7 linked regions of the Cricetulus griseus genome follow. The protein of the gene in region 7 interacts with the protein of the main gene of each other region in a biochemical or structural test. Links are inferred from orthologs where the notes say so. Each region holds a gene or a part of one and is shown on either strand. Other genes may lie near its edges.

Region 1 (3,985 bases), on a different chromosome or scaffold from region 7:
TGTCCCTCCCACCCCACAGAAGGAAGAGGCACAGGCCATGCAGTAACATTCCCCTTTAATAGCCTGGTGGGACCTCCAGTGGTGGTGGGGTGGGTTGCCTGGGACCAGTGACCCAGGCTCATTGCCCACTTACCCCACAGTCAAGAGTGGGGTATTGGACAGCACCCAGCGGGAGGGGGGGGCGCTAAACAGGCCAATTCATTTCCCATCGCTGAGCAGGTCGGGAAAAGGCAGCACCGACCATAATCACGTGGTGGTTAAAAAAAAAATAACTAGGGACAGGTGACAGGGAGGAGAGGTAAGGCCAAGGCAGGGGCCAAGGCTACCCCACATATCCTACCCGGGCCCCCAATAAATATTTGCAGGGGATGCCTGGGCTGGTGACCCTGGCAGGGATGGGTATTTGCTAACCCTATTTCAGGCAGCGCTCAAAGTAGGTGGACCCGATGTAACCACCTCTCATGGAGCGCTGCACGTTTTGTTCAAACAGCCGCCGGTTGTTCTGCAGGACCTCGGCGGCCTCCTTGTTCAGTGGGTCCTCGGGGTTGGGCTCCTGTGGCCAGCACAAGTGGAAGTTAACAGGCAAGAGAGGCAGATGGCCAACAAACCCCCGCCTCAAATGCCTGTGCCTACTCACCAAGAAGAGATACTGCAGGCCATAAATTATGGAGTTTATCGTAAGGACTGGCTTCCAGTCCTCTCTGTGGGCAGAGAGCATCAAGGTTATCACATGTTGGTGAGTGGGAGGCTTCAACAGGCCCTGCTAGTACCAAACAGGTCAGGCCCATAGGAGGCCCGTAACCCTGAAGAGTGAGAGGTAAGGAAGGGGTAAGACATGGAACGGGGCAGGCCATGGAGAAAGCCAAGGCTGGGCTATTAGGAAGACAACGTAGAAATGCGAAGACAGAATCACAGACGGTAAAGGGCAGAGCAGAGCAGAGGTGGGCCTCGGGAGGGAAAGGGGAGGCAGGGCCATCACCTGAGGATGTTGAGACAGACGTTGCCCTCGAGGTCAATGTTAGGGTGATAAACCATTGTCTCACACTTCACCTTGGGGGGGTCATGTGGATAACCTTGTCCCACCTGGCCCCAGAAAAAAAGGGAAATGAGAGGGGCAGGTGTTTTGGCTATGCCTCAGCTGCTGCTACTTCTCCACCGAGCCACCTCGGTCCACCTGGGACTCACCTTAAAACTGAACACAAACTTCCCACTCTTGTAGAAGCCCTGGGAAAGGGAGCGAAGAAGGAATTAAGACCCCCCATTCTTAGGGTTTCCCATTCTCTATGGGCGGACAGCACCCCCACCCCGGGGTCTGTTCTTGGGAACCCTGCCACCCACGTTTTACTCTCACCTCATCAGGACAGATAACCAGCTTGAAGTTGAGGAGGTCGTCTGGGTCTGAGAAGCTGATGTCACAAGTCTTGGGCAGGTTCAGCTCGTTAATGTCTAGGTTTAGGCAACAGTGAGAGGGAGAGCAAACGACGGCGTGAAGGTCTGGGCAGGTGTTAGCAGGACTTCCCAAGTTCTCCTTCCTGACCTGTAGGGCCCCGGCGTGTGGTGGCCTCACACCTCGCAGGGTGAGTCCTACACACTCTTCCCACTTTCCAGTCTCTCGGTGGACTCTGGTGGATACATAGTATCCCCACACGTGAGCATCTTCAGTTGTAACCGGACGCCTATCTCTCGGGAAGGGCCAACCTTGATTAACCCAACTAAATCCCCACCACCACCACCACCACCACCACCCTTCCCACAATGCAGTGAGGGCCCAAGAACCTCTGGCTTCCAAGAGATTGCCCCTGAGCATTCTAAACTTGAGGCTGCGTGGTCATGACCTCCACTCGCGACTGGTTTACCCGTCCGTCCTCATTCGAGGACCCTTCCCACGCTAGATCGGCCCTTCCCATCAACTATCCACAGCCTCCCCTTGTCCTTCTTCCTGTTTCTCGGGGGTGGGGGGGTGGTTATTCCACGCGCCGCTTCTTCTCATCTGACTCGTGAAGACTCCTAGCATGGTAGTAGCTTCCATGGACCCCGACTCCCATCTTTATTTTATCCATCTATGTATCTATCTATCTATTTATTTATTTTTAGTTCCTGTCACCTGCTTTCCTCCTCCCCCCCCCCCGCCTTTCACCTCAAACTCAAAACTGCTCTGCCCTCCCCTCCCGTCCCCTCCCCCTCGTCCCGGAGTCCCGGGGCTCCAGGTCTCCCAACATCATGACCCGAGGCCGTGTCCTTCCTCCCCCTCCTCCTCCTCCTCTCCGATTCGCAACCTTCACCCCTGTCTCCACGGCCCGTCGTCACCCCCGCCAAGTTCCCGTGGGACTCTCAAACTCTCCCCCCCCCCGGTCCCCTACCGGATCCCCGGCGCCCTAACCCTCCAGGCCTCAGGGTCCCTCCCAAGGCCTCACCCGGGGCCCCCGGCTCGGACCGGCCCTCCCTAGCGACCGCACCCCCGTCCCGCAGCGCAGCCCCCCCCCCACCCCGACTTCCGATACCCCCTCCCCGCCCTCCCCCCTCCGCCCGCCCGCCGCCCCGCCACCTCAGCGGCTGCACCTTCGCACCCCGGGCTCCCCGACACCCCCCCACCCGCACCCCACCCACCGCACCCCACCCCAGCCCCTACCTTCTGGATCCGGAGCTGCGCCGCCGACGCCTTCTTGCTGCTGCCCTTGGTGCCGCCGGCCGACTCCTCCTCCTTCTTCTGCTGCTTCAGCGAGAACAGCTTGATCATCCTGTCGCCGCCGCCGCCGCCGCCGCCGCCGCGGGGCCCGGGACCCCGGCCACCCGGCCCCCCCGGCCGCCTCCTGCGCCGCTTCCGCTCCTCGGACCCGCTGCCGCGGCCTCCCGCTCCTCCTCCTCCTCCTCCTCTTCTTCTTCTTCTTCCTCCGCTGCCGCCGCCGCCGCCCGCCCGGCCTGCCTGCCGCGCTGCTCCGCGCCCACCGCACGGCCCGCCTCGGCTCCCGTAGTCCGGCTCTCGGCCTGGCTCAGCGCCTCGGGTGCGTTCGGAGGCGCTCGGGAGGACTCGGCTCTCGTCGGCCCCGCCCCTGCTCTCGGGCGCCCGCCCCGCCCCCACCCCCGCGCCCTCCTCCTCCTCCTCCTCCTGCTCCTGCTCCTCCTCCTCCTCCTCCTCCCCGTTCCCCTCTTCCGCTCAGGTCTTGCGAGAGGGCCCCCGCTGCGGCCGCTTCCCTTCCCGGCTCCGCCGCTCCGCTCTCCCGCCTGCTTGCTCCCTCCCTCCCTCTGCGAGGAGGCTGCGGTGAGGTGGGAGGCGGAGGAGGCGGCAGCCGCGCTGGCGGCGGCAGGGTTACCGGTGGAGGCTCAGCTCCCGCGGCAGGCGCGGCTTCGGTGCGGAGGTCCGCAACGGCCTTCGGGCGCCCCCCCCCGCCGCTTCGGCACTTTCCGCCGCCTGCCTGCCCCCCGCTTCGGTTCTTCCTGGTCCCCCCCTCCCCCGGCTGCGGGCTGCGCCTGCGCGGCCCCCTCCCTCCCCTCCGTTGGCTCCTCGGTTGGGGTTCGGCCTTCTTCGGTTGCTCCTCGGTTGGGTTTCGGCCTTCTTCGGTTGCTCCTCGGTTGGGGTTCGGCCTTCTTCGGTTGAGCTCGGCTGTTTCCGTTCGTGGAGGTGCCTATTCGGCGGCCCGGCGGCTGCGCACACCCAGCAGAGCAGGAAGCGGGGCTGGCAGGCGTTTTTTTTTTTCTTTTTTTTTTTGGAGCGAGTCGCGTAGCGGCCGTTTGGTGCCCGCTGTTTCCATCCACTCTTGCGCTTAGGCGGAGCGGGCTAGAATGGGTGTTTGCTGTCTGTGGGCTCAGCAAAGGCAGAGCCTGGGCGTTATTGAGGGACGTTGTCTGGGCTCCCCTTCATCCCATCGCAAAGCCAGATTCCGATGGATGGAAACTAGTTTAAAACTCGTACTGTTCTTGAGCACAGACATTCAAGGACATCGGGACCCTTGCTCCTTAAAATAGATTTCTGTCGTGCAACCGAGGG
Region 2 (4,192 bases), on a different chromosome or scaffold from region 7:
AGTCTCAAGAGTTTGAATTTAGGTTAAGTCTTGGAGGCAGAGACCCTTAGAACTCCCTACAACCATATAAAAAAAACAGTTAACGTTAACAGAGAACATTATTTCCTATTATTAGAAAAAGGGATGGTGTCGGAAAGAACCCGAACCAGTTAAAGCAGCCGCCATCTTAAAATGCGGGATAGAAGTTAGAGCAATAAAATGAGACTAAACCACCGGAGGAGGTAGTTCTTCTTACACTAGACCTCCGAAAAATCCTAGCTTCTGCCCAACTGAAACCGACAGCGTAAATTATCAAATTATAGTGGATTGCTGAAACAAGGCTGGAGGGGGGAGGGGGTGTCCTAAGCAAAAGCAGTGGGTCCATCCTGTGTTCCTGCACTGTCAAGCACCCCCCCACCCCGGACGGATCTTCCTAAAGGCATTTACATCAGTTCCCGTGCCTCAGATAAATAGCTTCGGGTGCAAGCTGCGACCACACAACACAGGAAGTGGCAACAGTGTCAGTCCACCTCCTCCCAACCCCACTTGGTCTTGTGTAACTGCCCAGATTGGGTTAAGCTTCTGGACAGACTTCGTCACTACCTTTTAGCAAATCGAGGTTTGTTTATAATACCTTGACCCTCAGTAAAGTTCGGAATAAAATGTTTTCTTTTTCATGTTTCCTTTTCTTCCTAGAAGGCCTATAAGCATAGTACACCTAAAATAAGTTTTGAAGAACCAGGAATAGGAAAGCAGTACTATGCCATCTGCCCGAGGGCTTCTACACAATTCCACTTTCCAAACCGGACTAACTCTTCGTGAGGCACAAAACCGAGGTGCCTGAAAGCCACGCTCTCACCCATTAATTTACAAATTCTTGTGAGAAATTCGGTCTAACATTTCGCTTGCCAAAAGCATTCAGTTCCCCCAACTTAAAGAAACTCATCTCATAAACTACACTCGCACCCCACTTCCACACTTCCCCCTGGGCCCGAGCCTGCCTGCCTGCCTGCCTGCCTGCCTGGCTTCCCAGGGCCCCCCGTCCGGATTAGTCAGTCCCAACAACTTACCTTATTAATCCGTTTCAGCGCCATAGTCTGTGCTTTTCGCCGGGCTCCTCACTATCCCGATGTGTACTCAAAGGCCCGGCCGAAAACTCTTGATTATCCCAGCGGCGAGGATGGATCGTCTCTTCTCCTTCTCCTCCTCCTCCTCCTCCCAGCGGCTCTGCCAGACACAGGCGCCTTTTTTTTGCAAAAACGGAGCAGATCAGCCACTCGCCAGAGGCCGCGGAGAAAACCCTGCCGACTCCGAGATCCCTGCAAACCGCCGCGATCCGGGCAGGGCGGGGTGGGGTAGCGAAGCCACCAACCACTGCTTCTCCCCGCGGCGGCGGCTCGCCCCGCAGAGGGCGAGGGTGACGGGAAGAGGTTACGAGTTTAACTTCCCGGCCTCTCGGAAGGAAGGGCCCCGGGTGGGAGAGGAAGAGGCGGAGGAGAAGGGGGTGGGTGCGGGGCCGGGGCCGGGCAGAGGAGGAGCCGGGGCCTAGTCGGCAGGCAGGCAGGCAGGCAGGCTGGCCGGACCGGCCGGCGCTGGGCCGGCGTCACCGGGGCAAAGAAAGGCAAGGGGGAGGGGAGCGGGAGGCTCCGGAGCGGCGCCGGGCTGCTCTCCGTTTCCGCTCCAAAGGTCGGCGGGCGGGCGGACGGACGGACGGGCGTGCGGGCGGCGGGCTCGCGTGTGCGGCCGTGCCCACGGCTCGGGCTGCTCCGTGTCGCCCCTGACACTGCCTCCCTCCTCTCCGCCTCACAGCGCGCTCCTACGTGCGCGCGCCCAGCCTCCTCCTTCACCACCACGCGCCGCCGGCGGCGGCCGCCAGGCTCCGGCTCCGGCGCGAGGGAGGACGCGCCCCTGTCTCCCCCCCGCGCCCGTCCTCCCGTCCTCCCTCTCGCCCCCCCGCCCGCCCGCCCCGGCCGCGCCGGCCTCCCCCCTTTACCCCACCCCAGCCCGCGGGCTGCCCACTCGGCCGCCCACAGCCCCGGGCGCCGCTCCGCGCCGCGCCGGCCCCCGGCCGCTCGCCCTCCCTCGGGCCGAGCGAGCCGTCCCCACCCACGCGTACAGAGGGGCCGGGGCCTCCCTCGAGCTGCGGCCTCGGCCTCGGCCTCCTCCCCGCGCGGCAGCTGGTGCCTCCCCGGCCCTACGGGGCTCACGCGCACGGCACAGCCACAAGATGTCCGCTCGCTCTGACGGAACTACTGCCAGCTGCCACGCTCCGCCCCTCCCCCCGCCTATTCACCGCCGCGTATCCGTCCGCCAACGCCGCCGCCGCTGCCGCCGTCGCGAGCGCGAGCCGCGGGCCGCGCGCGGGGCGAGCCGAGCCGAGCCGAGGCGAGCGAGGGTTGAGGGCAGCGGTTTGCCTCCCTGCCTCCGGGCCCGAGCCGACGCGCCAGCCACCCGCTTGCCGCCTCCCGGCCGGACCGCACAGCACCTTCTCACTCCACTGCTCGGAGGTCGGGCCGGGAGGGCGGGGGACGGAGGCGGGTCATGGGCCGAGGGGAGGGTAGGCGAGCGGCGGAAACCCTGAGACTCAGAGAAGCATCGAGAACCGGAAGGAGACCTCGGGAGGAAGGGGATGGGAGCGGCAGCTGCGCGGTCGAGGCCCCCGCGCCCCTCCCTACCGCGGCCCCCTGGTTTCCTCACTTGGTATGGCGGAGGCGGCGGATCTCGCGAGAACCTCGTGGCCGGCTCAGCGGAGCTCCGGCTCTGCAATGACTTAAGGGCAGTTTTGTGCTCTCTTCCTGGCTGGGGCCCGCCCCCAAATCCGCAACTTATCGCGAGAGGCGCCGGTAGCACTCTCCACGCCCCCCTCCCCCCCAGGTTCTCACTGGGCGGGCCTTGGGCCGAAAGCACCGCCCCTGAGTGCTTCTGCTGGTGGGCGGGAGAGGAAATGGAATTCCCCAGGCCGGCCGGGCGCGAGGGCGGGCGGGCGAGGGCGGGCGGGCGCGAGCGAGGGGCGGGCGGGCGGGCGTGCGTGCGTGCGGCCGGCGCGCGCTGGCCCCGCCCCCTCGCGGGCGTCCAATGGGGGACGGGCTGTGGGCGGGGCCGCGGGGTGACTCGGTGCCTTAGCGAAGGTGGAGCGGGCTCCGGGCTTCCGGGGGCCCAGGTGATGGAGATCTCTCTTCCCGGGCTCCTCGCAGAGGGCTAAGCGGCGGGAGGAGGCTCCCCTCAGGTTGGGAACGGTAATTTACAACAGATCCAGGCTGAGGGCTGCTCGCACCGCCACGTGGGCCCCGCGTGAGCCGCGCGCGGCCCGAGGGGCGAGCGTTAGCGTAGCCTTAACAATGCGGCTTAATTGTGATCGGGCTGCTTAGAGTCCCGACGTCAGGCAGTCAGGTGGGGAACAGCCAGAGGAAGGAATGCCTGAGGATCTTCTTTCTCCCGGTGCTGCTGCAGTTTTTGAGCCCCAAAGTGGTAAAACATTAGGGAATCAGTCTGGATTACATTCAGGGGTGAGATCTCTCAAGTGTACCACTGCCCTGATTTTGGGCCGCCGTGGTTAAGGTGTAGAGGGCCGTTTGTCATCTAGTGTATTCTTTGGTTAAAAAAAAAGAACTAAGCCTTTAGTTTTCAAAAGGCGTTTAAAGGCAGAAAGGATGGACCTGCTTTAGGGTTTTCTGGCACCCATGAATAACCCCACTTGAAGTGAAATTCTGCAGGACTACATGGAAATAGCTTGAATTTTGAAAACTTGTTCCAGACAGTAGTCCCTAATTAAATGATAAAAATTGATGAAGGATCTAATATATATTCTAAGAATGAGGGTGTGTAATATGTGTGTGTATATATATATACACATATAGCTGCTTATACATTAAAAATGTCACTAGAGCAATCGGTGGGATACAGCTGCTTCAACTGGTGTCCATAGGAATCACCTGTAGTTTAGTTTAAAATGCTGATTTTGATTTATTAGGCCTGACTAGGAGCCCGAGATTATACATTTACAACAAGCTCCCAAGTGATAGGAATAATTTGAGCATTTCTGACTTAGTAAAACCCTGAGCACATGATGCTCTCCTGGCCACCTCTGACACTTCCTCCTCCCTGAAAACAACCCATTGTTCTCTCTTCAGGCTCACCCTTTAAAGTAGAAGCAAACATTAGGCATGGGGTGGAGGGAGAAACCCAGATGGCGGCTTTTGCTTACTGTTTTTTT
Region 3 (4,206 bases), on a different chromosome or scaffold from region 7:
CAGATAAAATGAGAACCTAAGGAGAGAGGTGAAACAGAGACCCTGGTACAGGCCTGCATGAGGAAGTAAATGAATTTCAGGAACAGAGTGAATGGACACCAGGAGATTTCATCCCTGCAGTTCAAGAGTCTGCCCTGCAAGAGATCAGTTTCATTGTGAACAGCCTTGGCTGGAGGGGGATGTGGCCCAGCCTGGCTCTGTAACCCACCCCAGAAGGGCAAACAATCACTGACTGTTTCCAAAGGAAGGAGTGTGAAGCTACAGGGTCTCCCTTCCTTGGGACCTAGGGGGAGCTGTGTCCTTTCCTCTGTACCAGTCCTATTGGTACCCCAGGTGTAGGAGTCTGAATTTCACCCTCCTCTACTCTGAGGTTGGTGAGGTACGCCATCTCTTTTCTTGAGGTTAAGCCTTCTCCTCCCTTCCCTGTCCCCACTCTGGGTTCTCCTACACGTTCCAGACTGAGTCACCTGCACTGCCCAGGGATGGGGGTAGACCAAAGGGGGTAGGCAAAGAGAACCTGGAGTCTGTACCCCAGCGGCTTTGGGGACTAGGTTCTTCATTTCCTGAGGAGGGGTTGGAAACTCAACAGGTGGGGACAGAAGTGTAACAGGGAATGGGGGGCATTGAGGGAATGTGAGGTTGTTATACTCTAAATTTTAATCTCCACATCACTCATCACTTTGTTCTAGGAGGAGGAAAAGGAGAAGGAGAGGAAGAAAAACATACCTTACATACAAAGAAAAGGCATAGTGAAGGAATACAAAATGAAATACCGGCAAATAAACTGTGAAATCCCCAAATGTGAAGACCCCGCCTTAGCTCTCAACTCACATTTGGCTCAATCTTAATCAGTGCAAGATCCAGTTTATGGTCGATGTCTTTGACAGTGGCTTCATACTGGGCCCCACTCTGGAGCTCTACCTGGATCTTCTGATGGTTGGTGAGGACATGGGCATTGGTGATGATGAGCCCATCCTCAGACACAATGAACCCAGAGCCACTGGAGGAAGGGATTTCCTGGTTGGTAAGAGGTGATCTGTCCCGGAACAGGACAATAGTATGAGCAAAGGCAGGAACTGGGGAATCCATCCATTGTGAGTCTCAGCAAGCCTCACATTTATCAACCATAGCTCCAGTTTTCACAAGTATGTTCCTTTTCCCTGTCTACTTCTATTCTCTTCATGTATATATGAGCGGCATGTAGCATGTCCTGGCCATCTATCTCTTCTGAACACAACTCAGAGCTGGGACACTGCTTCCTCCTTCAAATAGGGCAGGAGTGGCAACCTGGGGGCCATCTGCTGCAAAGAGTCCAAACCTGGCGTTAACAGGTCACACTCCTGTCACAGTGTCAAAATCTAGCTCTTAGTTTCCACTACCAACTTGTGTAGTAAAATAGAACAAGTTAATTTTCTGTCTATCCAGGTTTACTTGCACGCAAGTGATGGCTAGGGCTAAATGAGACCACCAAATGCTGACTAGTTCCTCTAATCAGCCCTAAGTTTTGCTTGGGTATGGGGGAGAAAGAAACCCGAGCCACCAACGTGCACCGATGTAGCTTGGATTTAGAAGCCAAAATCCTCATGCTTGGTTCTTTGCTCTTTAGCAAAATAGCTCTTAATAATTTTTCTTCGGGTACTGGGCTGGAACCTAAGATTTCCCCCACATGCTTCGCATGAGCTCTACTGCCCAGCTGTACCCCGCCAACTCTTTGAACCTGGGTTTCCTCACAGCGTATCAAGTGGGGTAATTGGCCCCAGGGTGTGACCTTTACCTACGGTATAGCTGCAAATGAACCACAGATGGCGCCACCTTCACCACCACTGCGGCAATAAAGTTAAACTTCCTCCGGAGCCTCCCAGCACTTCTGGTCCCTGTGAATAAACGGTCCATGGTGAGGGCAGGCACTGCTCCCTGGATGCAGGTGTCACATCTCAAAATTTCCCAGCATCTCTCCGTCCCCCTTCCTCCGCAGACTAGTGGATGAAAGGCATACCAAAGGGAAGAAAAGAAGAAAGAATCCCCGTAGCAACCAGTAGAGACCACATTAACCAGGCAAAACACCAGGAACAACCACAACAGGTTGAATCTTTGGAGCTGGCAAAGGAGGGTAGACCGAGAGAACTAAAGAGCCCCCATTTCATCTTCTTAGGAAGATGAAAGACTTCCTAAGAGTCTTCTTAGGAAGACTCAGAAGTGTCGGGGAGTGGGGAGTGTGGTGGTGGGGTGCCCTGAGCCTCGCTCACCTGTGTCCCCGCAGCCTCCCTTCTGTACAGGCACTGCCGGGGGCGAGCCCCGCAGGCGCGCGGCTCGGTTCTCCTTCCGGAGCGCGCACAGGCTGGGATAGGTGCGTCCGTCGCTGCCGCACACCGCCGCGCCCTCCACGCCCTCCACACAGCCGCAGGTGCCCAGCCATGCGCCCCCCGCAGGCTCCCGGGAGAATGGGGCACCGCAGCGCAGCCCCGAAACGCACGGTCGGCCCCGCGCCCCGCCACACTCCTGACCCTCTGCCGCAGGGCACACGCGGCAGCAGCCACAGCGGTCGGGTACCGGCGCCGTGCCGGTCGAGCAGGTGGGCAGTGGCGGGCAGCGTGTGGCATCGCAAGCCACCGGACAGGGCATCGAGCCTCTGGACCTCCTGGTCTCTGCCCAGGGAACAGGCAGTAGCAGCAGCCACAGCAGGAGAAACTGTGCCCACATGGTCCACAGCGGCTGGGAGCTCATCTTGTTCATGGCCCTCCTGGATTCTACTTTTCCAGTTACTTCACTCAAAATTCACAACTGGTCTAAAATGAGCAATCCTTTTTCCTGGCCTGGGTGCCTACCCTGCCAGACTCCAGACTTTATAAAGGACAGTGTCTGGCTTACTTCTGCTCACACCCACACCCATATATCACCCACCACCCAAACCACCCCAGGGCCAGGGCCACCCACCTCTAAGCCATAAAAGGGAGGGAGGGTCTACTCTAAAACCAGTCATGGGGCAAGTGACAAACGTGACCACTCACCCACGGCCACGAGATCTGACCAAGAAAACAAACAACCAGATTTCATATTTCACATGTTTTTATTACAAAAACAAGCAACCAAACAGTTTTAGAAAATTACGTTTTGCTACATACCAATTAGGAAATCTCGAAACATAAGAAGCTGGAGTTTCCATGCACTCAGCTCAGTGCTTTCAGAGGTGTTTCACAGCTCAAACACTGGCCCAAACGGGCCATGCCACACCTTCATAAACAGAGGACCAAGGGGTCACGATGTGTGTTTTTGCCAAACATTCACTGTATTCAAAGCCTACCTAGTATGAGTGACTGTAATTGACTCTGGCGGGGGTGGGGAGGAGAGATCTGAGGAAAACAGATTTTAGAGGGAAAAAAATTCAAAATTAAAGTGGTGACATGGGAAACTTAATTTCCAAAACGCTGCCATTTGCTACCAGATGACTGTTTATTTGGTTAACATTGAAGACATCAAATCCACTGCTCAACAACTGATCTGTTATTTATTCAGGGAGTCATTTTAGTCCTAAAGAGAGCATATTTATATTTCAAGAGGGAAACAAAATCAGTTTGCTTCCATTGAACTAAGACACTGGGCTTTAAATCTCTCCCCAGAAGCTCATCATTCTACTTGGGAGAGAATGTCTACTTGGTAGAGGTGTCATTCCACTGCTTTGTCCTGAAGTCCCTCCCTAGGCTGTGGTCTTCCATATTCTCATCAGGGTTCACAGAATGACACACTATTTTTGCCAGCTATCACCTGACCTTGGTAAACAAGTCCATCAAACCTTTCAAGGCTACTGGATGGTGAGTCCTTCAGGTGCTGAGGACACTCTCTGAGAAGCCTTGAAGAAGGACCTAACCCCAGAGACTGCTTTTATTCCACACATACACACACACACAAAACAAAAACAAAAACACAGTACCTTTAGTAATTCAGAAATCCCTTCTGATTTATCCACAATAAATGCTTAACCACAAACCCACACTGTATCACACCCTATTCCCCCTCCACACACACACACACTGGGTTCTATTTTATACATTGAAAACTAGTTTATGCACTATCTTTGGCTTACATTAAAATACTGAGATAGGCTGGATATGGTGGTACATGCTTGTAATCCAAGCAGTCGGGAAGCAGGGTGGAGGCAGGAGCATTACCAGTTCAAAGCCAACCTGGACTACATAGCAAGACTCAGGC
Region 4 (4,286 bases), on a different chromosome or scaffold from region 7:
ATAAATCTTTAAAAAAAAGTTTATTAAAACAAAACAGACATATGGTAGTGGCGAATGCCTTTATGCCCAGCTCTGGAGAGGCAGAAGCAGGCAGATTATCTGTGAATTCAAGGCCATCCTGGTCTGAGTCAAGGAGAAACCCTGTCTGGAAGAAGAAAAGTTCAATCCCCAGGACCCATGAAAAGGTGAAAGAATAGACTTCACAAAGTTATCCTCTAATTCGAGGATTATGGCTGAGACATACACAGACACCGACACACAGACACACCCCTTTAAATGTCAAATGATCATTTCTAAACCCGATTTCTTTTTTAAAGATTTGTAAGAACTGGGAATGTAGTTCAGTAGCAGAGTGTTTGCCTTAGCATACGTTAAGATCCTGAGTTCAATCCCTAGTACTATACAAAAAGATTTAGTGGTGGCAGGTGTGCTGGTACATGCCTGAATTCCAGTACTCAGGATCAACACCACCCTGAACTACACAGTGACAGCCTATCTCAAAAACAGAAGATATTGCTAGGGGCAGATGTTAATCTAAGATTTAAATATAGCCAGGTGGTGGTGGCGCATGCCTTTAATCCCAGTACTTGGGAGGCAGAGGCAGGAGGATCTCTGTGAGTTTGAGACCAGCCTGGTCTACAAGAGCTAGTTCCAGGACAGGCTCCAAAGCCACAGAGAAACCCTGTCTCGAAAAACCAAAAAAGATTTAAATGTGTGTTTTGAGTCAGTGTTATCTCCCTCTCTGAAGAAGTCTCTATAGCAGATATTAATACAAACACTAAAAGCCATTAATTTTCTAGTTTAATCTCAGCACTCTGAAGGCAGAAACAGTTTGAGGCCGGCCTGGTCTACACCATAGTAAGCTGCAAGCCAACAGAGCTAGGAAGACCCTACCTAAAAAAAAAAAAAAAAAAAAATTAAAACTATCGATGCAAATTATTATACATCAAACTCACATTCTCTCCCAGCCTTGGAGGACAATCTTCTATAGGTATATTTCAAACAGCATTTCAAATCAATAGCTTCCCATCAGACTCTATAAGACCCTATATTATATGACTGCTGAAGTCTTAGAAATACACCCACAGCGGCAGTGGCAGGTGCCTTTAATCCTAGCAGGAGGCAGGTAGATCTCTGTGAGTTCAAGGCCGGCTTGGTCTACAAAGAGAGTTCCAGGACAACCAGGGCTGCCACACATAGAAACCCTGTCTCGAAAAACAAAAACAAAAATACACACACATTACTTGGATGTTTATCCCTCACAAGGTTTTTCAAGGGTTTTCTTTTGTTTTGTTTTTTTTACTAAAGTTCATACTTCTTTTAGCAAAGACCCTGCTTCATCTTAGTACAAGACATACTGCTAAAGGCTATCCGTTGATTTCTAAGAAAGCAACGAAACCAAAAGTTGGTAAGGCGCTAATTCGAAGTAAGGAATGGAATTAATTCCACATTCCAAGCCTTGAATAAAGAGGGCCAATTGCTCAACTGTGGTATTCCATCTTTCAATCTGCATTTTGACTTCCTTCTCTATTCTTTGTATCCCCATCTCATCAGCCCGTATGGGTAATCCCAGGTCCCACCACTTACTAATAAGGTAAAGATTTAATATGGCCCACCTGAGGAGCCAAATAAAACACCAAACAAAACTCACAGTGGGCGACTTCTTACGTCCAAGGAAATATAGTGACACTAAGAGATTGGGGGGGGGGGTGAGAAACCCTAAAGTTTAAGCCAAGCCTATGCTCTCCTTGTAGTGTTAAATCTTATCAACAAATAAATGGATAACCTTTCACTTAAGACAACTAAAACTATTTCTACCCAAAAATAGAGTAAAATCCCTTCTAAATTAGGAGTCTTCTCGAATACACCATCTAATTTTAGCGTTAAAATCATTTTGGGAGAAGTCTGTGAAAGCAATTTCTCTGGCGGTTTTCAACGTTCGGTTTTCTGAACTGACTGGCTTCTACCCTATCAGGTAAACAGTTGTTCCACTAGGTCCAATCCTGCAAAACTGAAGTGTTAGTTTCCCACCCCACGAAATAAAACCCTTGTCCACTTAATTCCCTTCTCCCTCCGAAGTGGCATTTTCTTCCCTCTGACTTTCTACTCCAGTCTGTAGACCAGTAAGGTGGACTGAAGGGTGCAGCTAGCTGCCAAAGAGTTAAGTGAACTCAAGAAAACAGCCCGTGGGTCGGGCAAATGAGCCCTCTGGTCGGCTTGTCGAGGTCCTGGATCTCGGGCAGCTCAGCGAAGGGCGCCAGAGTAGGGGGACAGAGCTTGGACAACAGTCCTCCCGACCTCGGACCACAGGGGCCGCCCAACGCCCCAGCCGCTACCCCCTCCGCGCCCCCCCAAGTCCCTTCCCAGGCCGGACAATAGCCCTAGTGAGCAGCAAGTCCCAGGCCGGAGCGGGGCCTGGAAAGGCGTCGGGGAGGAAACTGCGAGGACCAGAGCAACTTCGGCCTAAGCAAGGTCCCCGCGCTCCAGCCTTCGCGGGCGCCATCTCTGGGAGTGGGGTGTGAAGGCCGCCCCGTGGGGCCGGCGCCGGCAGCGGGAACCAGACGCCGCGAGCCCAGTGGAGGCGACCGCGGGAAGTGCAGGCCGCAGCCTCCTCAGCGGGCTCGCCCAGCGGCCCATTCCCCCAGCAACACCCGGGCCGCTTCTTACCTTGTGGATTCTCTTCAGAGCCATGGTGGGAAACGGTGGCGACGGCCCCCGGGGCGGGGACGGGGACGGGGGAGGGACGGGGACGGGGCGAGGGGGCCTGAGACCGCCCGAGCGGTCGCGAGTCGGCCGGAGAAGACCGGGAGCTCCGAAGCGCGGATCCGACGAGCTGAGGGCCGAGGCCCACTCAGCGTCTGGGCCTGCCGCAGCGGTCACCGCATCACCCGGCGGCGGCCCCTTTATGCGCTGCTGCCACAGCCGCCGTAGCTGCCTCTTCCTCGTAGGCTCAGCGCCGCCTCCTCGGCCGCCGTGGATCCCTCCGCCGGGGAGGAAGAGCCCCAAGCTGCGAGCTCGCAGAGCGCCCGATGGCCACGGAGCCGGGGAAGCTCACTTTCCTGCCTGGTGCAGGTGGACTAAGAGACGCGCGGGCGGCGGGCGGCGCGCCGCCGGGGTGGGGCCGCCAGAGCGCGGGGTGGGCCCAGGCCGAGGGGCAGGTCGGGAGGCTCCGGGATTGGCGGGCCTGGGAGGGAGGGCCGGGCCGGGCCGGCGGCGGAGGGATACGGGCCGCCCCTGCGAGTACCTTACGCGCCGGCGCAGCCACGCCGCGGAGGGGATGACGTCGCGAGACACTGAGAGGAGATCTCGCGAGAGTTTACGCGCGGGTTCTAGATGCTCCTCCGCCAAGGCCGCAAATCAGCATCTGGTACCCTGTGCGCTTGGGGCTTCGAAGATCAATAAACGCTTAAAGGCACGTGTTTTCCACATTGTTTAGTCACCATCGGACTCGGAAGAGAGTACCTAATCCCGCTGCTACTTTCCTGAAAGAGAGAAGGACTTTTCCAAGGTCACACAACTCTTCATTTATTGGCAGGATTAGTACTACCAGATTGCACAGGGAGCCTTGAGACTGGCCGCCCCGTCCAAGCCATGACTCGATGTTCTCTCCACAGCCACCGGCGTGTTAGCCTTAGGAAATACGCCGTGGAGAATAAGAAAATATGGAGAGAATTTTTTGATAAGGTTACACAGCAGGTGGCTAAGTTGATCACCTCTCTTCGAGCACAAAGGTGGATCCCCCAAAGAGAAAATTGTAGCAAGTCACCCAGATTCTGTATGCTAGAATGAGGAGGAACAACATTATGGAGGCCCAGGTCTCTTTGAAATGTGATGAAAAATGCCTCCGTGTCAAATTTCTAATTTTTTTCTCAGTGATAACATTCTTGTACGTAAAAAGCAACTCCTTCCTTCCTTTATTGGTTTTTCGAGACAGGGTTTCTCTCTGTAGCTCTGGCTGTCCTGGAGCTTGCTCTGTAGACGAGGCTGGACTCGAACTCAGAGAGATCAGCCTGCCTCCGTCCAGCAAGATCCAGGAAATTTTAAGGAGGCATATTAAGACTCAGGCAGTTCTAAAGGAAAGGACTTTAAAACTTGAGAAAGTAGCCAGCTGTGGTTATGCACACCTTTAACTCCAGCACTCAGGAAGCAGAGGCAAGTGCATCTTTGTGAATCTGAGGCCAGCATTGTCTACAGAACAAGTTCCAGAACAGCCAGGGCTACAAAGTGAGGCCCTATTTCAAAACAAACAAACAAAAAACAACTTAGAAAGTAAGCAACTTAGGAAT
Region 5 (3,500 bases), on a different chromosome or scaffold from region 7:
CTTGTACGCAGGAACTTGCTGCCAGTGGGCTCCCTTTCCCACTCATTCCCCTTCCTCCATCCGCAACCTCTCCCTAGTTTCCTAGCCAGTCTCAATGTAAGGGAGTAAACGGAATGTTTAAAGACAAACTGAGATTATACCTTTTCTATACTAAACACTCCACATTGTCATATCAAGACTGGTTCTCTTGTGGCTTTCAGTGGAACTGACTTCGGCCACTCAAATATATCAAGCTCATTGCTGCCTCAGGGTTCTGGCATCTACTCTTCCTTTTTCTAAACAGCTGCTAGTTTGCCCATTTCATTCAGACCTCTGTTTGCATATCATCCATTTGACCAGGCCATCTTCTGCATGTTCCATAGTTCTTACCTTGATATATTTGTTCAGTTACAATGAAAATAGCTTTTATAGACAATAACTTTTTCTTTTTATACTGTATTTTAGTGATTGTTTTTGTAGGACTTGGTGTTGAACTCGGGTCATCACCCATGTTAGGCAAGCACTCAGGTACATTGCCAGAGAAATATTAACAGCAAAACTAGAGAGAAATACACTTAAAAGCAAGTGGTTGCCAAGTGAGGCAGGAGGAATGCCAGTTCCTATATAGCAAGACTCTACCTAAAAAACCAGAAAACAGAAAAACAGTTGAGAGAAATATAAACTTATAGAAAAGAAAGGAAATTAAAACTTGAGGATCCTCTAGGAAACTTAAAACAACCTTGAGATCCAAAAGCACTGAATAGTAGTGCTATTTTCCCTTAACACATATAATTGTCTACCTCTATTTTAAGTATTAGGAGTATTATTATGCTCGTAATCTATGTTTAAGTTTGTTACATGTGAATGAAACAAATACAACAGAATTAAGAAAGGAAAAAGGAAAGGCTGAAGAGGAGGAGGGAGAGGAAAAGAAAGAGGAGAAGGAACACGAGCCAGTAGAGGAATAAATAGAAAAAGGAAAGGCTAGGCAACCACTTAGGAATGTTACAAACTGAAGGGTACTAACATAGGTTTAGTTTTAAATGAGTGAAGCCAAGTTCTTCAGCTACACACTTAGAATAAAACACACATTCCCACCCCAAAAATGGTTTTAACTGACCTTAAAATTGGGAGAAAAGTATCGGTTGGCCTTGTCTTTGTTTGCTTTGTCCAGATCATTTTTTGTTAAGGTAAGAACTAGATATTCTTTGTCATTATCTGCACGTTCTATACTGCAAATACTGTCAATTTCCTGATCACAGAGACTTCCATTCTCCACTTTTTCTGATGTTTCCTCTGGTCCTGGTATGAAGAATGTATTTACCCAAAAGTGAAACATTTTGTCCTAAAAAAGAAAGATGTATTTTACTCATTTAAAATATTTTACAAATAGCCAACATAATAAATCATGTACAATCTGGTATTCTAAGTGAAGGCAAACAACTCATAGAATGTCAACATTCTTATTAACTAAGTTATCTTTTATTCAAATTTCAGATAAAAATATAATCTTTTATGTTAAGATTCTAAGTAAAGTATTTTCTATTCTAATACCAGATTTTAAAAATGTTTTGAATTTACATGTATGTAGACATAAGAAAAGTTCAGGTGTTTTACTTCAATAGAAAACCTAGGAAGGTTAGTAAAAGCTCCCTAAGGAAATATGGCAACTATATTTTGCCTGGAGATATGTATGTATGTACATCCTGTGAATGCCTGGAAGCCACAGAGGCCAGAAAGCAATTCAGATCCCCTGGGACTGGAGTTACAGATGATTGTAAGCCAACATGAGAGTGCTGGGAATCAAACCTGGGTCCTCTGGAAGAACCACCAGTGCTCCTAAATGCTGAGCCATCTCTCCAGCCCATGACAAGTCTTTTCAAAATCTTACTGATCTCAGTTACTTCAGCAAAGTTGTTAACTTAGCAACTATACTTTGCTTTTAAAAAAAAAGGGGGGGGGGTATTATTTAAACTCCCAAAATGTAGCTTGTTGATGTGTGCTAATTTTCTGAAACTTTTTTTATTTAAATCAGAACAGGCACTTAACTAAGTCAGGAAAAGCTATGATAAATGCAAATTTACATAAAGTAATCTAAGATATACAAATATAAATATCCAATCTTCAGTTTCATGTATATAAATGTGCAATTGAGATCTGGAGGAAGAAACAGCACATTCCTAAAAGTACAAGGAGTGAGTGAGTTATCTATTTTAAAAAACAATATAAAGCCAAGTATGGTGGTTCATGCCTATAATCACAGGACTTAGGAAGTCAACGCTAAAGGACTGCTTCATCTGAGGCCAACCTGGGCTACTTAGTGAGTTTGGGCCAGTTCGGGCCAGCCTGAGCTACAAAGTGAGAACCTGTCTCCCAACAATCAAACACTAACAAAGAAAATCAGGAATAAAAATTTGCATGCACAAGTACACACACACACACACACACACACACAGCACACACACACACACACACACACACACACACACACACACACACACACACACACACACTCAATTTTATATGAACCTTGAGTCTTCTAGGAGGTAGGAGGAAAAACCAGAGCCTTCTAAATACCTGACGTTTGAAATACTACTGGCTCATACTTAGCTTTTTTTTTTTCTTTCTTAGAGGTAGAAAATTGAGTCTATGATAGAAATAGTAATTTGTGATCTTGTTTACTTACTTTTAACTACTTAGATCCTATTTAACATTTAAAAGTTTTATAATAAGTGAAATTTCCTTTTATCACTTTTTTAAAAATCTAAAAATTGAGAAAACGAAATCCTCTTTCTGGTGATATAAAATCTTTCATGTTTTACAGGTGTCAGTCAATTCTAAACAAAGTTGGTGTCTTTCTCTGAAACATGTGCACCTTAGACTCTTTGAAATATTTGCAACATTCCAGATTAAGGTTATTACAGCCTTCTCTTAAGTGTGTCTCAAGCCTTAGTATTCTGAACTCACATGTTCAAGTATATTTTTTTTTCACTTTGTTTGCTTTTGTTTTCTCTGTGTCACAGTCCTGGCTATTCTAGAAGTCACTTTGTAGACCAGGCTGGCCTCGAACGCACAGAAATCCACCTGCCTCTGGCTCCCGAGTGCTGGGATTAAAGGCGTGTGCCACCAACACCTGGCTCTTTTTTTTTTTTTTTAAATCACTTCTCCATAGCTGGTTCTTTCAACTAAATAATACTGACTAAACTCTCAGCAAATCTTGGGAAACAAAATGTAAAATAGCCCAGTCTCAAGAAACATAAACCCAACTGGGTAAAATGAGGCTTGTGTCATTTGTAAGATCACAGAACAAAACAAAACAAATAAAACAAAAACAAAAATCCACAAAGGCTCTGCTTTCATGTTCCATCAATGTCACAGATGAGGCAAGGTGTGTGCAAACCTAACAAGAAATCCATCAAAACTCGGTGGGCGGCAAAGAAATACTGTATCTCAATCTCCTTAAGAAAAAGGTCTGAGGTTACTCATGGCACAGCTATTTCTACCAGATAGAACTCAAGTGC
Region 6 (3,500 bases), on a different chromosome or scaffold from region 7:
ACTGCACTTTCTAGAGCTAGGAAGGTTATTGCTTTAAGAAAAAAAAAAAATCCAATGGAATTTAGGAGTGACTTTTACTGTTTTGTTTTCTTAACACCATTCTCCATATCTTTGCCAAAAAGCCCCCAGACGCTTAGGCCTCTGGTTACACCAGTCCAGCTAAGCACCAGCTCCCATGGTCCTCTCCTCCTCTGCCAAGAAGGCACAAAACAGTTGGTCTCTGGTTCCTAGGATACAGCATGGACTAGGGCTAGGATGGTGACTCCTCCCCCAAAGTCCCTGGGAGCTGGGAAGATATTGGCCATGTGGCCCAGTAAATACCTAAAAGCCAAACAAACGTACAAGCTGGCAACTTTATTAAGGGGCTGCATGGTGGGGGGCGGGGGTCAGGTCCTTTTTAATTCTGATGTCCTCCTGACCCCTAATAGTGCTATTCCCTGGGTCTTCAGGGGGAACCAGAAACGAGTTGTCATTCCTCGACTTTCTAGACTCCAGCTGGAGTATTGCCGAGACCAGCACATAAGATGGCCCACTAACTAGTCTGAGACAGGGTCTCAAATACCCAGGGCTGACCTTGAACTCACTATACGGCTGAGAATTACCATAAACTTTTGCATTCTGTCTCCATCTCCTAGTACTGGGCTTACAGCCATGCCCTTCCACCCCTAGTTTGTATGGTGCCAAGGAATGAAGCCAGGGCTCAGACATGCTAGGCGAGTACCCTACCAACTGAGCAAAACCCCAAGCAGCGCTTGAGTAGTGTACCTTCTGCACTACTAAGAACCTGACTGGATAGAGGAAGGCAGCAACAAAAGGCTACCAAGGGGCCCCAACACAAGCTCTTTTGAAAAGGCCCTCATCCAATCACCAAAGCATCCTGAAGGACATGGTGGCCTGGCCCTAAAGAACAGGCAGGGTGCAATTGGGAAGATGGGGGCTATTCTAGATAGACTGCCTCTAGGACAGGTCACTGGGTCGAAGGACTCAACAGATGGATCCAAGTCTTGGCTAACTCCAGACTCTAGGTGACAGGACTTGCCATGTCTATTCATGGTGTGTCTTCCAGCCCACCCTGCCCACACCTGCCCACCCAAAGCCACACCTCTGTGATCCAGTTCATGGTGGTTCTTCTCATCCTTCACTGCCAAGTGGGCTTGGCTGCCCAGGGCACCGAGTGCCAGCAGCCCGGAGCTGCTTCCTGTCACTGGGGGGATCCCGGGAGGTTGAAGGCCTGACGGGTGGGGTGGCAGCTGGACCGGGGGACCATGCGTGGCATGGGAGAGGTGCTGTGCCTGGAGTTGCTGCTGCTGCAATGAAGTTGGTGGTAAGCGATGATAGGTCAGACAGGGCAGAGGATGGGTCACCTCTGCCCCTCCCCCTCGCTCCTCTACCGTTAAGCGACAGGGAAACAACACCCCCCCCACTTGCCCGCTCAGCCCACATGCTCATTTTGCTGAACAAAATCTGTTAATGGACTGCAACGTAGAAGATTTATGTCTTCCAGCGTCATCCCCCCCCACCTCCCCCTCCAGTTTCAGGACAGTTTCCCATGCCTGTTTCCAAGCCCAAGATAAATAATGCATGCGTTTAAAACCCACAGGGTCATCAGGGCTTCCTTTCAATTGAGAGGAACCCATTTTTAAGCTCATAGCTCATGCATACATGCCTTTAACATCAGCAGCCAGCACCTCCCACCCAAAGCTGGAACCTGGGCAAAGCCTCCATGATCCTGAAGAAACCCAAAGCTTGCAGAGTGGGGACAGGGTAGGCCAGAGCAGAGAAGTACCAGGACTGGTGAAATGAAAGCTGATGTCCTCGGCCATCAGAGTAGAGAGAACACAGAGCCACAGAACCGGGGAGAGCAGAGAGCCCTTGAAACCAGATGGGTCAGGAGCTATGTCCCTGTTCTGGCACTTACTGTCTGCACAGCTGGGGGAAGGAATCAACTCCCTAAGCCTCAAATTCCTCATCTGCACAAGGGGGGAGGCAGCACCTACTACAGGGGACTACATAAGGTAACAGGGGTTTGGGCACGCAGCCACTGCTCAATGGGCTTCATGGCAGTCACTGGCACTTCCACACTTGCACGGAGTTCTCAAAGGGCTCTCCCGCTGTTGTAACAACCTGAGTACTCCCAGCCACACAATAACAGCCATGCTCCTGTTCCTCCCCACACCTAACCCAGGACTCTGCTGCCTGACGCCTCTTCCCACTGCCAGCATTGAGGCTGCTCATCTCATTTTGCCCCCAATCCCAAGCTCCCAGCTCAGAAGCTTCCATGTTCCCCCAGCAGCCAAGATGGAATGCTCCCTCATTCGTAAGACTATGCCAAGAACCCCTGGCATTGTGGGACTGGTTATATGGTATCAAATATTTCTCAGAGATGGAAATATTTCTTGGGACTGGTTGGGCCTTTGGGTATGCTTGTCTCCACCCATGCACACATCTTTTGTCTTGACTAGTCCCAGAAAAAGTAACCAAGGCCATTTGTATGTGCATATAAAATCCCTGGACACTATCCAAAAAGATCCTGTAATTCAAACAGTCACCCAGTGGAGGAAGGGTTGTGCCCATTTTTACAGACTATAAACTGATAAAGGGGCACTGGAGTGGGCAGCTGGAGTCCCGTGACTCCTAAATGTAATTTGAACTCTTCTGTCAACCACTAACACCGTCTACAGAGTATTCCAAAGAACTTCAAAGCACGAGGGACAAGATGAAGGCAGATATACAGCAATGATGTAATAAGCCAAGGTATCAGCACGGGCTGAGGGAGCTTGGACCTGTGAAATAGCGCTCTCAAATCTGGGAAATTCCTACAGATATTTGGTCGATGATTAAAAGCTTCCAGGATCCCTCCAGACTGCTGACCTTGCTCTACCTCTAAGTCAAGCTTGCTGTGGCAGCCTTATACTTCTGGCCCCCAAGGCTCCATGCCTTAGATCTATCTATAGGACTGTTACCCACAGCCAGTGCCCTGAACCACAGAGGACCTGCGATAACCCCACTGTTAGGCACCTGTGCAAGCTTTTGGTGGCCACTGGTCTTAAGAGTGATGTGACTCTAGGTTTGCTAGTGTCACAGCAGAACTAAGGTAAGGGAGCAGAATCATGGTGTGCCAGGCAGACCTCCAGTCCTCTTGGCTAACACTGAACTTTCACACGGGAGCCGAACACAGCTCCCCACCTTCCCTTTTAAAGAAAATGAATTTTTAACATATTCACAAAATAACACATGCTCATTGTTAAGAAAACAAGATTTTCTTTAAGATTTAAAAGTTTTGTTCTTTTTAAGGTCCCTGTTCATCCCACCCTCACGAGCCATTGTCAGTCTGTCTGGAACCCAGATTTTTCAGATTCACAATTTTCCGTGTGATTCTCCACAAATGAGCTCTTGTTGATCATGCTGTTATTTATAGGCCCCGATTTAAAAAATGTTCTGAAGAAAAAAAAATTAACTTTCCTTTTGAATGACTATTTAGTATTCCACAGCATGGCTAG
Region 7 (4,131 bases):
AAACCAATACGGAACACTTGGGTTGCTTAAGGAAGAGTCTTTTCAAATGGTTCTTCTAAAATTTTAAGTTGTATTATTTTATATATTAGAAACTCATACAACTTATATAGCTGAGTACTTTATTTTACAGAGACAAGAGAGTTTCACGATGGAGGCCAGCCTGGAAGACATTGTGAACTCCAGGCCAACCGAGTTAATGTGAGAAACTGTTTCAAACTAAAAGCAAACAAAACACAAATAATAATATACATTATGCCAGCTCTTCAGGACTTCCCATGGTACCATGGGCTCAGGTCACTCGCCAAAGAGTCTACTTCTGAATAAAAAGGATATATTTTTGTATAGTATACTAAATAAAAAGTACACATTTTTGTAATTTGGTGTTTATAAATGGAACCCTCATATAATATATGAACAGTGAATGTTTTGGTTACCAGAAGTCTTAGGTGGGTTTTTTTTTTTTTGGCCTACGAAGTAGGTGACCCCATTTCTATAAACTTGGTGTGAATTACAAGCCATAGTGAAGGCAAAAATAGTTGAGGTGAAAAGTAATTCAAATCTTTCTCCTGCACAATGTCCAACTTGCCTATTCCTGAATGAACAATTAAGAATCTTACCCTGGGTACCACTTCGCATGCTGTTCCCAAGGGTCTTCACTTGGCTTCCAATCTGTGAGCCCTCCTCCACAGTGAAAGCACTTCACCTTATCACCTTCACCTAAGGAAACATGCACGTAAAACTATGTGTATCTGTGCATCAAAAAATGCCCATTCTAACATTTAAGAGGTGTCTAAGTTACATACAATCTCATGGCTTAAAGGAAAACATTCATATTCCATCTAGATACGATCTTTATCATTTGACAGGAAATACACACTAAATTTACCATCCCGATATGGGGTGCTTTGTAGAAGACAACAAAAGTAAAATCAAAGATTTTATGTTAAAAACTACAATTGTTACATTCTTTCTAGTGCATGTCATTTGGGTCATTACTATCACACTTACTTCATCAAACTGAAATCTGTACAAGTTATATTCCAAATGTTAACTATAATAAAATTCAGCAGATACTACAAAGTAAGTGTCTTTAAGGATAGAGCTCTCTGACATGAAAAAGACCTTCAAGATTACTATGTTATATAAATGAAAAAAATTTGAAATAATTTGTATTTTGAATTTAGCACTATTCAATCTTAAAATAAGTGGACCAGGCATGCAGATATAAAATATTCCTAGAAGCAACCATATTACTGGCTTTTAAGTCACATACTGTGACTGTTTCAAAAATACTCTGATGCAATAAGGCATAATACAGGGCAGCTTTCAAATATGTAGCGTATGTTAAAGATGTTACTTTTTCTTTGGTTCTTTTCGAGGGTATCATGACGTAGCCCAAACTGCCCTCAAACTCATTCCTACCTCAGCCTATGGACTGCTGCAATTACAGGTATGTGGCACCATGCTTAGCTTGATGTCAGTTTACCATGAACCAACCTAAATTCTCTGTTAACTCTGTTTATAGGGTTGTGGTGAAGCTTACAGACAATCCATGTAATAAGTATGCTGAGCATACAGAGTAGATGCTCGTTAAATGGCAGCTATTATTACTATTAGACCCATTATTTATCAGGAATCAATACCATCTTTTTTCTTCTCTCAACTCAACCCTCAAACAACTGTATGAATACAGATCTGACTCATAATAGCATGGCCTTTTAAGCATAAATTCAGTAATGACAATGAAGATTTAACATATGAGTTCAGAGAATGATACTAATGATAAGCAATCCTGAAAACTTATGCCTAAATATTTATTAGTTCAGAAGACTAAAGGCAATGATTTTCTTTTTAGGAGCCCTATGACAGATGGAAAGTAATTTACTGGTTAAGTTTACCTAAAGCATAAAATCCAGCTCTTGCAAGCTGCTCCTTGTTAACTGAGTATATCCATGTTCCAAAAGTAATGATCCGTGCTTCATATTCTGCCATGGCTGGATTTCTTGGAGAATTTGCCGAATTGGGGAAATTCCTATCAGAACTCACACCAGATTCACTCCGAACATTAACATTCCGGCCCAAAACAAAGAAGCAATTGGGAAAGTGTCTCCTGTGTTCTGACCAGGCACGATCACAGGGTTCCCAATTTTTCAGTTTCCCACCACAGCAAAAGCACTGCACTTGATCATCAATCCCTGTGTAGTACAGTCCAGCACTGGCCAACTCTCTGGGGGTTAAGTGGGCATAGTCTGGCCAGTTCTGAAAGGACTTCAGCCTGGCTTCTTCACTACACATGGCAGGGTTCCTCGGGTATATGGTATCTGAAATATCTACAACCTGTCCAGTTCTCAAAAGATAATCTGCATGAGTCTCAGATGGCCTGTCAAGAGCAAAATGATTTCTGTTTCCCACATAGTTTTCAGCTTTGTACTGGCCATTTTGGATACCAGGATTTGTAGCCTGTGTGGCACTGTTTTCAAAATAAAAACCATTGATAAATCTGCAATTTGGGGATATTTGCCTGTGTCTTCCAACAGCTGAGTCTCCGTACTGCCATCTATCCACTGCCGCGTGACAACTAAAGCACTGCACAGTATCTCCTTCACCAGTATAAAGAAACCCTGCTCGTGCCAAGGTTGATGCTGAAACAGGACTACTACTTGGAAAGTTAGCAAATGTTTTTAATCTATTAAACTCTTCTACAAATTCTTCATCCTTATTGGTGTCTGCAGGTACACAAGTTCTAGATCCTTCAAAACTGTTAAAAGTCATCTTCTCTTGAAAATAGGACTTGTCCACCTTTTCTAAAAAGAGAACATTGCATTAGGAAATCCAAAACACATAACAAAAGTAACATATTTCTGATACTAAGCACTAACAAATTATCCACTGATAACATAAAAACAGTGGTACAATCACTAAGACACATTTAATTCTAAACACTAGAGCCTTACATTACTACTTGAGTTTTAAAATCTGGTGCTTTTGTTTTTTTTCTCTTTCAGTGTTAAGGCTTCACACAATGCCAGACACATGCTCCAACACAGAACTATAAACCAGCCTGTTTCTCTTATTTATTGTAGTCCTGGATATCCACCTCAGGGTCTTTGGCATTTTCGGCAAGTGCCGAAAATGAGCCTCAATCTCAGTCCCACTTTCTCTTTTGATGGAAAACAATATGTAAACAAACAGCAGAATTACGAATCTTAAGTACTCATTTTATAGAAATATGGAAAGTATGACACAGAAAAATTATAAATATTAAACACATGAAGCCTTTAATTAGGAAAAACATGAATGCAGCATAAAACATGCAGATTATTAAAGACTATGCATAATAGTTATAATGAATCATTTCATATTCAAGGCATCAAAGTTCAATTTTTACTACTTAAAAATGAATGTTTAGAATGCTCATGGATTAATTTTAAATATATTTTTACTTTCTTGCTTAGCAAAAAAAAAAAGTGGTCTGGTGGAGGCCATGCCCAAGGGTATATAGGAAGCACAAATTAAACTTGCTGCATTTAAACAAAAGGACAAAGTCAGGTGGTAGATCTGGGAGGAGTTGGGGAGGTAGGTGACTGTGATCAAAATGCCATGCATAAAATTCTCAAAGAACTAATAAAAATATTAAACAAAATATTATAATGACTTAAACATTCTAAAAGTCACAGATATTAATTGAAGTTACTTTTGCCATCAACTTCTGTTGGTCAAGAAATAGCCTGTTTAAATGGAAGAGAATTTAACACTCATTACAGTTGCCAAATTACAACGATGTCATGTTTAGGCCAAATAACATACCAAGAGGAATCAGCTGCATTATGGGAAGAGTGGCAAGACAGTTTGTCCTCCAACATGGTAAAGTGCTAAATGATGCTACTAATAATTGCATAAGGATAACAGGCATGAATCATGGTCACCATAGGCAAAGCAGATAGAAGAACATGTGGTCACCCTAGCTACAAGACAAGCTGGTTCTCCAGAATCTTCCACATTGCCATTCTGTCCTCAGTATGTTTGTGAAATGCAAAATAAACAAATGGCTAAAACTCAAATAACAGCAAAAATGAAAGATTCTGATGTAGCAATGAATACATATCCAGATATTTCTCAAAGGGGGATGTA

Evidence for each region.
Region 1: the proteins of Xiap (region 7) and Ube2m form a complex in vitro, tested with the Homo sapiens proteins (2 studies listed by BioGRID). The link is inferred for Cricetulus griseus from reciprocal best matches to the Homo sapiens genes XIAP and UBE2M.
Region 2: the proteins of Xiap (region 7) and ubiquitin-conjugating enzyme E2 D3 form a complex in vitro, tested with the Homo sapiens proteins (5 studies listed by BioGRID). The link is inferred for Cricetulus griseus from reciprocal best matches to the Homo sapiens genes XIAP and UBE2D3.
Region 3: the proteins of Xiap (region 7) and Htra4 form a complex in vitro, tested with the Homo sapiens proteins (2 studies listed by BioGRID and IntAct, with this or other methods). The link is inferred for Cricetulus griseus from reciprocal best matches to the Homo sapiens genes XIAP and HTRA4.
Region 4: the proteins of Xiap (region 7) and Ube2d2 form a complex in vitro, tested with the Homo sapiens proteins (6 studies listed by BioGRID). The link is inferred for Cricetulus griseus from reciprocal best matches to the Homo sapiens genes XIAP and UBE2D2.
Region 5: of the proteins of Xiap (region 7) and Pten, one has a biochemical effect on the other in vitro, tested with the Homo sapiens proteins (2 studies listed by BioGRID). The link is inferred for Cricetulus griseus from reciprocal best matches to the Homo sapiens genes XIAP and PTEN.
Region 6: of the proteins of Xiap (region 7) and Tle3, one has a biochemical effect on the other in vitro, tested with the Homo sapiens proteins (2 studies listed by BioGRID). The link is inferred for Cricetulus griseus from reciprocal best matches to the Homo sapiens genes XIAP and TLE3.

Annotation. Positions count from the first base shown.
Region 1 is NC_048602.1:25,624,911-25,628,895, forward strand, and holds Ube2m (NEDD8-conjugating enzyme Ubc12), read right to left. Parts: upstream 2,801-3,985; 5' UTR 2,738-2,800; coding exon 2,630-2,737; intron 1,823-2,629; exon of another isoform or gene 1,808-1,822; coding exon of another isoform or gene 1,777-1,807; intron 1,448-1,776; coding exon 1,352-1,447; intron 1,225-1,351; coding exon 1,186-1,224; intron 1,084-1,185; coding exon 980-1,083; intron 702-979; coding exon 638-701; intron 554-637; coding exon 413-553; 3' UTR 39-412; downstream 1-38.
Region 2 is NW_023276806.1:24,045,351-24,049,542, forward strand, and holds the start of ubiquitin-conjugating enzyme E2 D3, read right to left. Parts: upstream 2,801-4,192; 5' UTR 2,677-2,800; intron 2,594-2,676; exon of another isoform or gene 2,465-2,593; intron 2,235-2,464; exon of another isoform or gene 2,096-2,234; intron 1,224-2,095; 5' UTR 1,074-1,223; coding exon 1,050-1,073; intron 1-1,049. UniProt on the Homo sapiens protein: Accepts ubiquitin from the E1 complex and catalyzes its covalent attachment to other proteins. In vitro catalyzes 'Lys-11'-, as well as 'Lys-48'-linked polyubiquitination.
Region 3 is NW_023276807.1:58,688,724-58,692,929, reverse strand, and holds the start of Htra4 (serine protease HTRA4), read right to left. Parts: upstream 2,801-4,206; 5' UTR 2,734-2,800; coding exon 2,247-2,733; intron 1,875-2,246; coding exon 1,775-1,874; intron 1,037-1,774; coding exon 832-1,036; intron 1-831. UniProt on the Homo sapiens protein: Serine protease.
Region 4 is NC_048595.1:201,744,477-201,748,762, forward strand, and holds the start of Ube2d2 (ubiquitin-conjugating enzyme E2 D2), read right to left. Parts: upstream 2,801-4,286; 5' UTR 2,692-2,800; coding exon 2,668-2,691; intron 1-2,667.
Region 5 is NC_048596.1:28,744,195-28,747,694, forward strand, and holds part of Pten (phosphatidylinositol 3,4,5-trisphosphate 3-phosphatase and dual-specificity protein phosphatase PTEN), read right to left. Parts: intron 1,325-3,500; coding exon 1,100-1,324; intron 1-1,099. UniProt on the Homo sapiens protein: Dual-specificity protein phosphatase, dephosphorylating tyrosine-, serine- and threonine-phosphorylated proteins.
Region 6 is NC_048597.1:172,932,988-172,936,487, reverse strand, and holds part of Tle3 (transducin-like enhancer protein 3), read right to left. Parts: intron 1,308-3,500; coding exon 1,103-1,307; intron 1-1,102. UniProt on the Homo sapiens protein: Transcriptional corepressor that binds to a number of transcription factors. Inhibits the transcriptional activation mediated by CTNNB1 and TCF family members in Wnt signaling.
Region 7 is NC_048604.1:25,910,638-25,914,768, forward strand, and holds the start of Xiap (baculoviral IAP repeat-containing protein 4), read right to left. Parts: upstream 2,801-4,131; 5' UTR 2,773-2,800; coding exon 1,899-2,772; intron 718-1,898; coding exon 618-717; intron 1-617.